3 linked regions of the Drosophila melanogaster genome follow. The main gene of each other region encodes a partner of the protein of the gene in region 2 in a complex. Each region holds a gene or a part of one and is shown on either strand. Other genes may lie near its edges.

What was found.
Region 1: Nup54 (region 2) and Mgtor share a complex: the UniProt entries of both Drosophila melanogaster proteins name them as parts of the nuclear pore complex.
Region 3: Nup54 (region 2) and xmas share a complex: the UniProt entries of both Drosophila melanogaster proteins name them as parts of the nuclear pore complex.

The regions. Positions count from the first base shown.
Region 1 is NT_033778.4:11,850,518-11,854,270, forward strand, and holds the start of Mgtor (megator), read left to right. Parts: upstream 1-2,099; 5' UTR 2,100-2,238; coding exon 2,239-2,389; intron 2,390-2,830; coding exon 2,831-3,753. Other genes in the region: Sln (silnoon), read left to right, coding at 1-565, 642-768, 830-1,211. UniProt on the Drosophila melanogaster protein: Component of the nuclear pore complex (NPC), a complex required for the trafficking across the nuclear envelope. Functions as a scaffolding element in the nuclear phase of the NPC.
Region 2 is NT_033778.4:12,428,965-12,432,717, forward strand, and holds the start of Nup54 (nucleoporin 54kD), read right to left. Parts: upstream 2,136-3,753; 5' UTR 1,973-2,135; coding exon 1,918-1,972; exon of another isoform or gene 1,896-1,917; coding exon of another isoform or gene 1,787-1,895; intron 1,726-1,786; coding exon of another isoform or gene 1,649-1,725; exon of another isoform or gene 1,631-1,648; intron 1,497-1,630; coding exon 990-1,496; intron 931-989; coding exon 564-930; intron 508-563; coding exon 1-507. Other genes in the region: CG43204 (uncharacterized protein), read left to right, coding at 1,649-1,725, 1,787-1,895; DUBAI (deubiquitinating apoptotic inhibitor), read right to left, coding at 3,379-3,753. UniProt on the Drosophila melanogaster protein: Component of the nuclear pore complex (NPC), a complex required for the trafficking across the nuclear envelope. Essential for the nuclear import of nuclear localization signal (NLS)-containing proteins in an importin alpha/importin beta-dependent manner.
Region 3 is NC_004354.4:17,157,322-17,161,074, forward strand, and holds the start of xmas (xmas), read right to left. Parts: upstream 1,986-3,753; 5' UTR 1,894-1,985; coding exon 1,850-1,893; intron 1,786-1,849; coding exon 252-1,785; intron 192-251; coding exon 1-191. UniProt on the Drosophila melanogaster protein: Involved in mRNA export and mRNA coupled transcription activation.

The sequences.
Region 1 (3,753 bases), 580 kb from region 2:
GATATTATTGGCGAGACCACTTTCATCAAGCCCATGAAGAAGGTGCGCAGTTCCGGATTGCTGCACTCCGTCGAAGATCTGAGCACGGACTCCACTTGGGTCTATCGCAAGCACTCCGGCACGGACTCCAATCGCGGAAGTCGTCGTCGGCGCAATGTCTTTGCCAACGACGAGGTGATATCCAAGATACAAGCCCACTTGGAGAAGCCTCTTTCGCCGCCGAGTGTGGTCAGTCGCGGACTCAGCAAGAGCATGGAGATACCCACTCCGGTTAGCAACCTCAGTGATCTCAAGCAGCAGCCGGTGGAGCAGGCGGAGCTCGGCATTCTAGACTCCCAGCTGGTGGAGTCCATTATCGATGGCGACGGCCACCTTGCCGCCGATGAGGATGACGATGACGACGAAGAGCGGGGACCACGCACTTGCTGCGAGCGCATCGAGATGTACCTGGACATCAGTCTGCTGCAGGACCCGAGCTTTATCCTGATGTGCCTATCCGTCACCTTGATGTCCGTCGGCTGTCCCTACATGTTGTACTATCTGCCCGCCCACGTTATTTCAATAGGTATACTATTTAAAATGTTCAAAGTATATTCTTTCGGCGTACGATTTTAAATATTATAAACTTGGTTCATCTTTAGGATACAATAAAAGTGAGGCGGGATACCTGGTGGCCATCAGCGCGGTCCTAGATTTAATTGGGCGCCTTGGACTTGGCTGGCTGTGCGACCTGCAGCTATTCGATCGCAAGAAGACCTACACCTTGTGGTGAGTACCAGATAAGGTTTATTTTTCGATCCAAACTAATCACATTTCCCTATATCGACAGCATTTTGGGCGCCGGATGTGCCGTGCTCACAATTCCCTTCGCCAAGACTCTGGTTTTGGTGGGTCTATCGGCCGCTGTCTACGGACTTTGCCTGGGTAGCTGGTATGTACTTATGCCGGTCCTCCTTGCGGACGTCTTTGGCACGGACAGGATCAGCTCGAGCTACGGGCTGGTGAGGATGTTCCAGAGCATCGGGGCCATATCGGTGCCTCCGCTGGCAGGACTGATGCGAGACCTTTCCGGAGACTACGAGATATGCTTCTACTGCATGGGATCCTGCATGGTGCTCGGGACCACTCCGCTGATTGTGTGGTCCATCCTGGAGGCCCGCAACCATCGGTTGTTTGTTCAGCGCGAGGAGGAGGAGTGCGAGGAGGCCTAGAAATGATTCGGATTCGTTGGTTGCCCCATATGTTAATAGTGTTTTAGTAGCGATCAAATACTAGTTGAGTTCCTGAGTTTCAGAGTTCGAATGCCTCACCGATATTGCTGATTCTACCAGTTACTATTACTACTATCCGTACGTTCTCATCCGTATCTTTGTATCTTAATCAATCCCCATGCCCACCCGCACCCAATCGCTTGTTATCCTTCCGTTGAGCAACAGCAAAAGGATGTGTAAGATGATGATATTCAAACGAAGAAACCAAACAACCTAAACAACCAACAACTGAGCACCAAATGTTGCGCAAAAAGAACTGAGTTTAAAAGACATGAACTACAAATACCCGTATATAACTTTATAATATGATAACTACGATCAATGCCCGACTAGATGGTTATATAGGCCGACTATAGTTGTAGGTTCGCACATCCATATCGGAAAGGACTAAACTTTGTGCAGGAAAAATTAAGTGGCTTTAGACAGAAGGGAGGCTTGAATGGAGAACATCACATTACATTACCCTAGAATTAAAATAGTTGTTGTGAGACATTTACCCATAAAGACAATTACCAAATAAACACGAAATCAAAAGGTTAATCGCGTTTTATGGAATTAAAGGGAATGATTTCGCTTGGTTTGGGTTTTGCATTCGTTTATGTTATTAAATAAAGTCCTTTCTTTTTTTATTCGTAATAAAAACGGATTTTTCAACCACGTTTAAAAAATTTTTTTTATGAATGAATTTATCTCTTTTTAAAGAAAAACATTTTGTTTTATTAGGCTGTGAATAGGCTGTTATAACGCTGTTGAAACAGTGAGAATAATATACTCGAATCGATAGTACCGAAAAATATCGATATTGTTCCATCTCCACTGCATTGACGTTCATTTTTTCGCGTCCCTAAAGCGACTTTGTGCACAATTCGCAAAAAATTAAGACTAAAGTAAAGTAAAAAGTAAGAAAGTAAACTTCGCACCGCTCCATATAAATTTAACCGCTGCTTGACAAGGATCAACTGCGAACATGGATCTCAGTGGTCCACAAACTCTGAACAACATACTTCAGCCCGACGAGTTGAAACTCGTGCCGGAAGACGTCCAGAAGAAATTGTCGGAGTACATCAACAATTTCTCAGATGAGTACTGCAAGAACCGTGCGGCCGCCAATCGGTTGGGTAAGTTTTTATATTTGTATATATACTAAAATGCGCCATATTTTGCAAATAACCCTTTATTTGCATGCGTATGCTTTTACCTCCAACTTTGCGGCGTTTACCGGCTCAGATACCGCTTCTTGTAATAAGCAATCCGCGACTGTATGGTTTCTAGCGTGGTAAACACTCTTGCGCCATTTACATATTTTTTGTATAGAAATTTAAATATAAAATTCCGGGTTGTTGCAATTAAAAACAATGGCTGCTTGCAGCAACATTATTTTCCTTATTAATTTTCACCTCACCGGTGTGGTAACACTGGCCGGACATTTTCCCACCAAAACAGTTGATTAGTCCGAGTTTGAAATCTTCAGGGAATTTCTGTGTATTCATTTTAATCCAAATACTTTGTGGTTACTTAAATCCAGTTAAGAAGATTATTTATTTTTGCCCTTTTCACAGCCGAAGCCGAGCAAAAAAAGGAAGAGCTGGAGAACAAAATGGAGGACTATCTAGTAAAATTTACCAGCTTTGAGTTAAATGTAAACGAGCTGCGCACTCATCTAGATCAGATGTCTTCGGAACGAGTTAACCTAATGGACACGATCGCCAAAGGCGAGCAAACTATATCACAGTTGCGCAAGGAAAAGGCGTCGGTAGTTGAAGAACGCGATTCGATGATGAAGGTAATCGAGCGCCAACAAGCGGAGCTGGAACGATTGAAGCAGGATCTGCACACCTACCAGCAGCAGCTGAGCAGCGCGATTGCTGCCAAGTGCGAAGCCATTGCTCGCGTGGACGAAATTCAAAGTAAGGAAGTGGCTCTGGAGCTCAAAGAGAACCGCATGGAAAGCGAACGCGATATGCTGCACAAGGAGATTTTGTTAATCAGCGGAGATCTGAACAAAAGCAACGCCGAGTTACAGAACATCCGACGGGAGCACACAATAAACACCATGCAGCTACAGTCTTGCCTTAAAGAAAAGACCGAATCGCTAAAGCTGATGCAGGAACAGTACGAACAGGCCGTCAAGACCATCGGGGAACTAACCAGCAAGATTGAAATGCAAAACGACACCGCCTTCAAGCAGAACCAGGCCACGGAAGAGTATGTGGGGAAGCTGAAAAAGGAACTTGATGCCAAAGAGAAGCTTTTTGAAATCTTTAAGAGCACCGAATCCGATCATCTGATCCAACGGGAGGAACTCCTACAGGGCATCTCCGAAATTAAACGTTTGTTAGAGGAGGCCGAAGAGCAGTGCGCCCAGTTGACGGAGCAAATGGAAACCATGAAGCAAAAGCACAGCGCTGAGTTGGACGAGCAAAATAAGAAGATTCAGGCTATGGAACAGGAGCTAGCAAGTGCCAACGATTTGCTAAAACAG
Region 2 (3,753 bases):
GCTGTGGCAGTGGCATGGCGCTTCTTGAGTTCTGTCAGCTCACTCTCCACCTTCTTTATGTACAATGCATGCGTGTCCGTTTCTTGTTCCTGACACTTAACGCGCCACTTTAAGTCGTTAAAGCCCACCATGGGCACTGGTATATATAAAGTTGGATCTGGATTGTCGGAATTGGCCTGACGCCACATGCGCGGATCCACGCCGCGGGGTGGATTTTCAAGGTACTCCCTCAATTGATCTTCGTCGGGTAATACCAGAGCCAAAGCCTCCACAACACCTAGATTATTGAGCTGTGGTTTCAGCGTCGCCTGATTAAGGTAGTTTGAGAGTTCGGTGGCAAGTATACGCTTGCTTTCGTTGGGAGCATGTTGAAGTTTCTCCTCGACATAAATAACAATTTGGCACTTTTTGTTCTCCAACTCCTTGATGGAATCTATGTGAACAAGCATGTTGGGCTTGCTGCCGAATAAACTGTGAAGCGTTTGAATCACTTGTTGCTGGTGTGGCCTAAAATAAAATGAATTAATACCTATGCCATGATGTAGACAAGCACTAAGACTTACTTGACAGCTGAGAGTTCTCTGCAGAAGTTAAGAGCCACCAGTCCCAACTTGTTATCCTTGCCCGGCATACGACTGTAGCCTATGGCCTTGAACCGGCACATCACGTTCTCCGGCGTAATGTCTACCGGTGCCGCACTCTGGGAGTAAAACATTTTCCCAGTGCCCCACGTAGCCTGCAAGTAGTTCCATTTGGCCACTATTTTGTCCCGTTCATCCCCGAAAATGGATACATTCAGAATGGATTGGGCAAACGCCTCGTCAGCCGATATGGGCGCTGGCTGCTGTTGCGGCTGTCCAAGCATAAAACTGGTGCCTCCGAATCCACCAAATCCCGGCGTAACTGTTGTATTCGCTGGTTTTCCGAACGCTGAAACATAAACCAGGTTAGGAATACCACAGAAAGACAAATGGGCTTATTTAACTTACTGGATCCGAAGGCTCCGCCCCCAAAGCCAGTGGACTGGCTGGTGCCAAAGCCACCAAAAGCAGGTGCCGACGTTGTGGTTGTGCCAAAGCCTGAAAATCCACTTGCTGGCGCTGTACTCGCAGCTGCCTGTTGGCCGAATCCGCTAAAAGCTGGTGGTGCTGCACTAGTCGCTGGAGCGCCGAACAGACCGGCCTGACTTGTTGCCGGAGCTGCTCCAAATCCGCCGAAACCGCCTCCTCCCAAACCCGTGCCCGCAGTTGTGGTTGTCGCCGCACCAAATGCCGGAGTACTGCCAAAGGCGGAGCCGCCAAAGGCAGAAGTTCCTGTGGCGGCTCCAAAAGCCGGGGCTGCAGCGGTTGCTCCAAAGGCGGAACCTGCTCCGAAGGCAGAAGTCGCCGGTTGGGCGCCAAAAGCCGGAGTCGATGTGGCCTGTGCTCCGAAAGCGGGTGCTGGCTGGCTGGTTGCAGCTGTGCCTCCAAACGGCGATCCGAAGAGGCCACCGGTTGCTGAACAAAAGAGATAAGAAGACCAGAAATGGGTCAGTGTTTTGAAAACTATGCTTCTGCCTTGGATTCTTATCTGAGATTTCGGGTTCCAAAATACTACAGAAGCTGCCCTTAGTTTGCTTCAAGCTCTGGTCGCCTGCTGGTCGTGGAAAATGGCTCTGGTTTTTATATTGCTGATCCTCCTGCTAGGTTTTGTGGGATACGTCGCCTATGTGGTCCACAAGAAGGGGTGAGCATCTTTGTCTGGCCACATAAGAACACTGACACCATGTAGCCCGTCCCACATCCAGCATAGATCCCAAAGACATCCGCATCCACAGCCTGCAGGACGCCAAGAAGCTGCTGAAGCCTCCACCAAGTGGAAATGGACCCCACAAATATTTGGAGAAAAGGGCATGAGGTCTTGTTTACGGAAACTCACTTTTGGCCGGCGTGCTTGTTGCTCCCAGCGACGTGTTGGATCCGAAGAACGACATGATGCGGTATTCTCAAGGACGTTACTTTGCCGCACAGTTTGGGTTGCCTTTCCTAGGGGCCGGAATTTGTACAATTCTATTTTATTGTAATAAAATTAGTCTTAATCCTAATAAACGTAAAATTTTGGCGCTTTCTAGCAGTGTTACCAGATTGTAAATGGGCTCTCACCCTTGCTGACAACAACACTTGAATTTCCCTTATTAATTTGGTAACACTGCCGCGCGGTCTAAATTATCGATAGTCTTAGGCCCGACTTTTGATTATTAGTACGCTATAATTTGAAATTTGGCGGCAAGAAAATCAATTCGCCACTTCAATAATCCTGTCAAGTTTTTAATTCTAGTTTACGCCTCCTCTCTAATGTTTGAACTGAATATAATATCCTCCTTTCTGATCATTGCTTTTCTTTTTGATATAGTAACTTCCATGAATGGATACTATTTTTGTTGTTTTCACATTAAACTCTTTCGTGACTCTAATAATTAAACACTCTTTGGGCTTGTTCTTTTCTTTATTGATACACTTATAGCATAGCATAGTATAGATTTTGGTTATCAATAGACATACACCATATACAAATTTCCTTGAAATTATTCCAATTTAATTGCAATAACGTTCAAAATTCATCGCAACCTCTGCTCACCAGATCCAAAGAGATACATTTATATATATCAATTACAAATTCGTGTCGCACATGCGCAAATTTTTTGAAATTTGCTAAAATTAACAGTGAAACTAATAATACGATCCGAGGGTTATAGCCCGATCTATAAACGATCTCGATCTATACAAGTCAATGCCGCGATTATCTTGTTTTGTAGCTTCTTGCTAGTTCGATTGCAACTCGAGATATGATTTAATTTCGAGCTGTGCGTTAAAAACTAGGGTGCAGACATTATTTCTGGTTTAGTGTTTTGGAAGTTAGTGGTCTTCGGATTCAAGTATATCGCTCCTATTTCTGGCTAATTCTATTGTTTTTTTTTTTTTTTAATTTTTATAATTAAATATGTTTGTGTTCGCATATATGCACGTTCTACAACTAGGTTTGTGTTAACAAAAACAAAAAAATTATAACAATTTTGTAAATGGAAATACAATAATAGTTTGCGTTCGTATGAGTGGATGAGTATAATGATTTTTGGGGCAACGGGCCGAAGGATCAAGGAGAAAAGGAAGAAACAATTTAGAAAACATCGACAACAACTCAAGGAGGTAGCGAACAAGCGATCGGTAAGCGCGTTTCTCATACACTTCGATATACGTAGGCGCATATATCTCGATTGGTTGTGAACGTGCTATATATATATGTATGTAACATTTCGATTAGTATGCGCGTGTTTCATAAAGTAGACAAGTATATGTTCTAGTGGCCTCCGGTGTGCTCGCTATCCTGGCTGTCGCTTTCTCAGAAGACGAAGCGGTTGATGTTCATGCCCAGTCCATTGCCTCCACATCCTCCGGGCGGCGGCGGCGCCTTGTCGTCCTCGTCACCATCGCCATCAAAGTTGTGCCGGCTGACAAACGCATTGCCGTGACCGCTGTTGCCACGCTTAAAGCGTTGCATCTTCAACTCTTCGTTGTAAACATGGTTGTCCTTTCTTACGTAGTCGCGAAGTCGGCGTGGCAACTCCTCCAGCTTCAGAGGCGGCGACAGTGGCACCGAGACCACCTGGTCATTTGAGCCCGATACCATACTCGAACTGCAGCTGGCCGTAACCGAATTAGACTCATTGGAGTGGCCGCACATCTTGTAGAACAGGATGTAGGGCGTGTTGGGCGA
Region 3 (3,753 bases), on a different chromosome or scaffold from region 2:
GGCATTTGTGGCTGCATCTCCTCTTGCTGCATGCCAGCCAGCTGATCCTTGGCCGTCCATGCAATGCTCTTAAGCATTCCATAATCGTCGAAGCTATTGTGCGGTCGGTGATTGAGGTAGAGGTCTCGTGGTGGTAAAGGTTCCCCACTGACGACTTCGCCCACGCTCTTCACGCGTTTCACTTCCACCAACTGGAAGTGGATAATAAAAATCAAATTAATAAAACAAAAAAAAGAAAACCATTTACTTACCTCATACTGTCGCGGCAGCTTGTACTCCGTCTCCACCGTGTGCATTCTGCTTAGCACAACTCTGCCCGCCTCGTTGATCTGCAGGCCATAGTGTTGGACAAAATCCGCCGCCTCCTGTTCGCTGGCAAAGCTCAGCAGCTCGGCGATGTAGCTGAGAGGCAGCGAAGACACCTCATCCTTCCGCGGAGACCTATACGCCTGGATCAGACGATGCAACCCCAGCACGCGCAGTCGCGTAAAGTAATTGACTAGGATGCAGGCACTCAGGTAGCTGGTATCCTTGTCAGCCAGCAGCTGAAAGAACCGCACAAAATTCGTGTCCTGCAGGGCCAAGTAGAACTGAATGGCTTGACGCACTTCGGGACAACTCTGCAGTTCCGCGGGCAGCTGACCGATGTCCCAGAGAAAGTTGGCATCGGCCAGATTGAGCAACACAATGTAGCCCCGGAATTCCGCCTCTTTGGGACATGGAACGCCCTTAATCCGCAGGTCATGGTACATGTACTTCAGAGTCTGCAGGCATTTGGTTAGATTCTCGGCGTTGATCTTGCTGTCAAAGACGCTGGGATCGGCGTCAACCAGACGGGCGGCGCAATGAATGTGAAACCGGGCGCACTGCTCCACCAGCTTCACAGCGCCCAGAGAGCATAGCTCCTGCTGGGTGATCTCCTTTCGGATGGACCTCGTGCGATCCCAAACGAAGTGGAACCAATCGCCCATATGGCTTTGCGGATCCTGGCGCTCGCTAATGTCCATGATCTCATGCATTAGATAGCTCATGGTCATGTGCAGGGCAGTCTCATTGCGCAGTTCATGCGGCAGTGGCGTCTCCTGGTCGGCACTGCTGCGCGAGTACTGCTTCAGGGCTCTTTCGTGACAGATTAGCTCATCGGAGCCCGGTTGTAGTTCATAGTAGGCTACCTGGCGCTGGAATTCTCTCAGCACGCGCTCCTTTTCCGGACACATATCGGCGCAGTGACCCTGGGTGGCACCGGACAGCTTGTGTTGCGTTCGGTTCAACCGGAGCAGCTTATCGCGGGCATCCAGCACGCTGAACTTCTCCTCGCTTGTATGGGCGGGTCTGCGCATCATGTTCTCAAGATCCCTGAGCTGGGCAGGCGTACGATCTCTGCTCACCGGCGCCGTTGCGGGCCCAACTGGTATGGCAGGCAGCATTGAACTGCCACCGCTACCACTGCTGCCATTTTGTGGTTTTTTTATCGGCTTGCCCGACCCATACTCATTGCGCCAGCCCGACTGCAGTGCACTCAACTCCGCCTGAATGTCAGGATCCACCCACTCCTCCGTTTTCTGTGCCGGCGCCGTCTCGTTATCAGCATAGGATATATCAAACAGGTGACCCTGAAAGCTGGCGCCATCGAGAAGCGCCCGCGCCGCCTCGTCCTCGCTGGCATAGCTTACGGTGCAGGTCATTCGCCGCGGACGCAGGACGAAGTTTACGAGGGTTCCAAAACGTCCAAAGTGCGAACGCGCCACATATTTGTCCAAAAATAGCTCCGGAATGTTTCTGCATCTGGGGATTCGTATGGAACTATAGTTGACATCGCTCTGCCTTTGATGAACGAACTTTTACTCACAATAATGTCTTGTAGTTGTAGCCGCCGGGACGGGGTTCTGCCATCGATCGAATATAGTTTAAGGTTTTTAGTTTCTTTTTTAGCTGAATGAGAGCGAATGTGTGCTTTGTTGTTACAATATTGCCGTCAAGCGATTGCCGGTAATCGATAACGCAAATCTGAAAATGGCGCGAAAAAAATACCGCAATGGCTATCCCACCCACACAATATCGTTCAGGTTTAATTGAAAATTTTAATGTTTTACATTCGAGATGAATGTATTTGCCTAATAAATAAAATGTTAACAGGAGTTGGTAAACATATATTCTTAGGAAATTAGGAAATGCTTGGGGCGTTCCTTAAACTGTTGAATGAAATCGAACATCTTCTTATATTATCTTATATATATATGAATATATATATAGGTGTAGCAATCTTTTTAAGTTCTTTTTATTCTCTTTTAAGCTCTCGATTCAAACTCCTCGATCTTGATAACACTATCTGTCGTTCTTAGGACTATACAATTAATCCTATCGAAATTGGTTGTTCCTAGTATTTTATATTTATACATAGCTTACATAAGAAATATTTTCATCTTTACACTTTAATATTTTAAGACGATTAATTACCTCTTAATCAATATCTCTATTTAATAGGCTGACTTATATAAAGCAATGCAAATTCAATAAAACTTATTGCAGAATTAGATGGCATTTAGCCCAATCCCTGATTTTAAAATAAGCGGGAGATAACGAGCAGTAGTGTGACCGCCCAGTAAAGTATAACCAAATACCGCGAAGAAGCCAAGCTGCTGTTCCGATAGTATCGATGAGCCTGCCATCCCCAGAATTTTGGTCATTTGTTGTTGCTCGCCAGGGCGAATTCGAACTCGAAGCGCAGTAATCAACGCGCTGCTCGTGGATTTTTTTTGCATTTTTTTGAGTTCAAATAGTTCGTTAATAAGAGTGGCGGTCAACGATACTATTCCACTTGCAATCGAAATATGAATAGTTGAAAGTGATAAACAACAAGAAAGAAGCGACGCCAACGGGCGAAAAAGGAGATAACCGAAAACGAAAAACACGACAAAAGCAACGTTAAAAGAGAGTAACAGAAAAGATATAAAAACGATGATCGAACCGTAAATTTAAAACCATGCAATCTACAGCGCATAATATATAATAATTTGACCAAAACAAATGCCAAGTTTGCGAGCGAGAGCGAAGAACGTTAAAAAAAGAAGTAAATAAATGATCTTGGCCCGCTGTTTGTTGTTCTTGTTATTATGGTTGCCGTTGTTGTAACTCGTTTTTTTTAATGCGCGCGTGTATGAATCACACAAACACAACAAAACAAACAATAACAACGATGCCTTACGGTGAAATATGCTAAGTAAATAGCAAAAGAGAGTTCCAGTTTCCAGAGAGCGACAGAGAGGGAGAGCGCGCGAGAGCGACTACAAGTACATACTGGAAAGCGATCCCGATCCTTTTTCCAGGCACGCAGCCATCTCGCTCGCACCCATGCCGCCCTAGACCAACTTTTGTTGCAGCTGCCTAACAACCAACAATACAGCAACAACAAGCGCACTGTGCACGCGAAAGGAGCAACAAGGATGGCGATAGCTGGAAAGCGACGACGATGATGATGATGCGGTCGTAACAACAACAGCAACAAGAACAACAAAAAGCTGCTGCAGGCAGACGAGCATAGCGTTAAAAAAAAGTAGCTGCATACAAAATAGTAATAGGAAAAAATCCGAAAAATTCGAGAAAAAAATAAGTTAAAGAAACGATCGCCCAATTTAATCAAGTGCATATATGTGTGTGCAAAATAAAAAGTGCATTGCAGCAGTCAAAAATACATACTTATTATCGCAGATCGAAGACGATAATAGTTATTGTTAACACGAAAAGTACGAAATG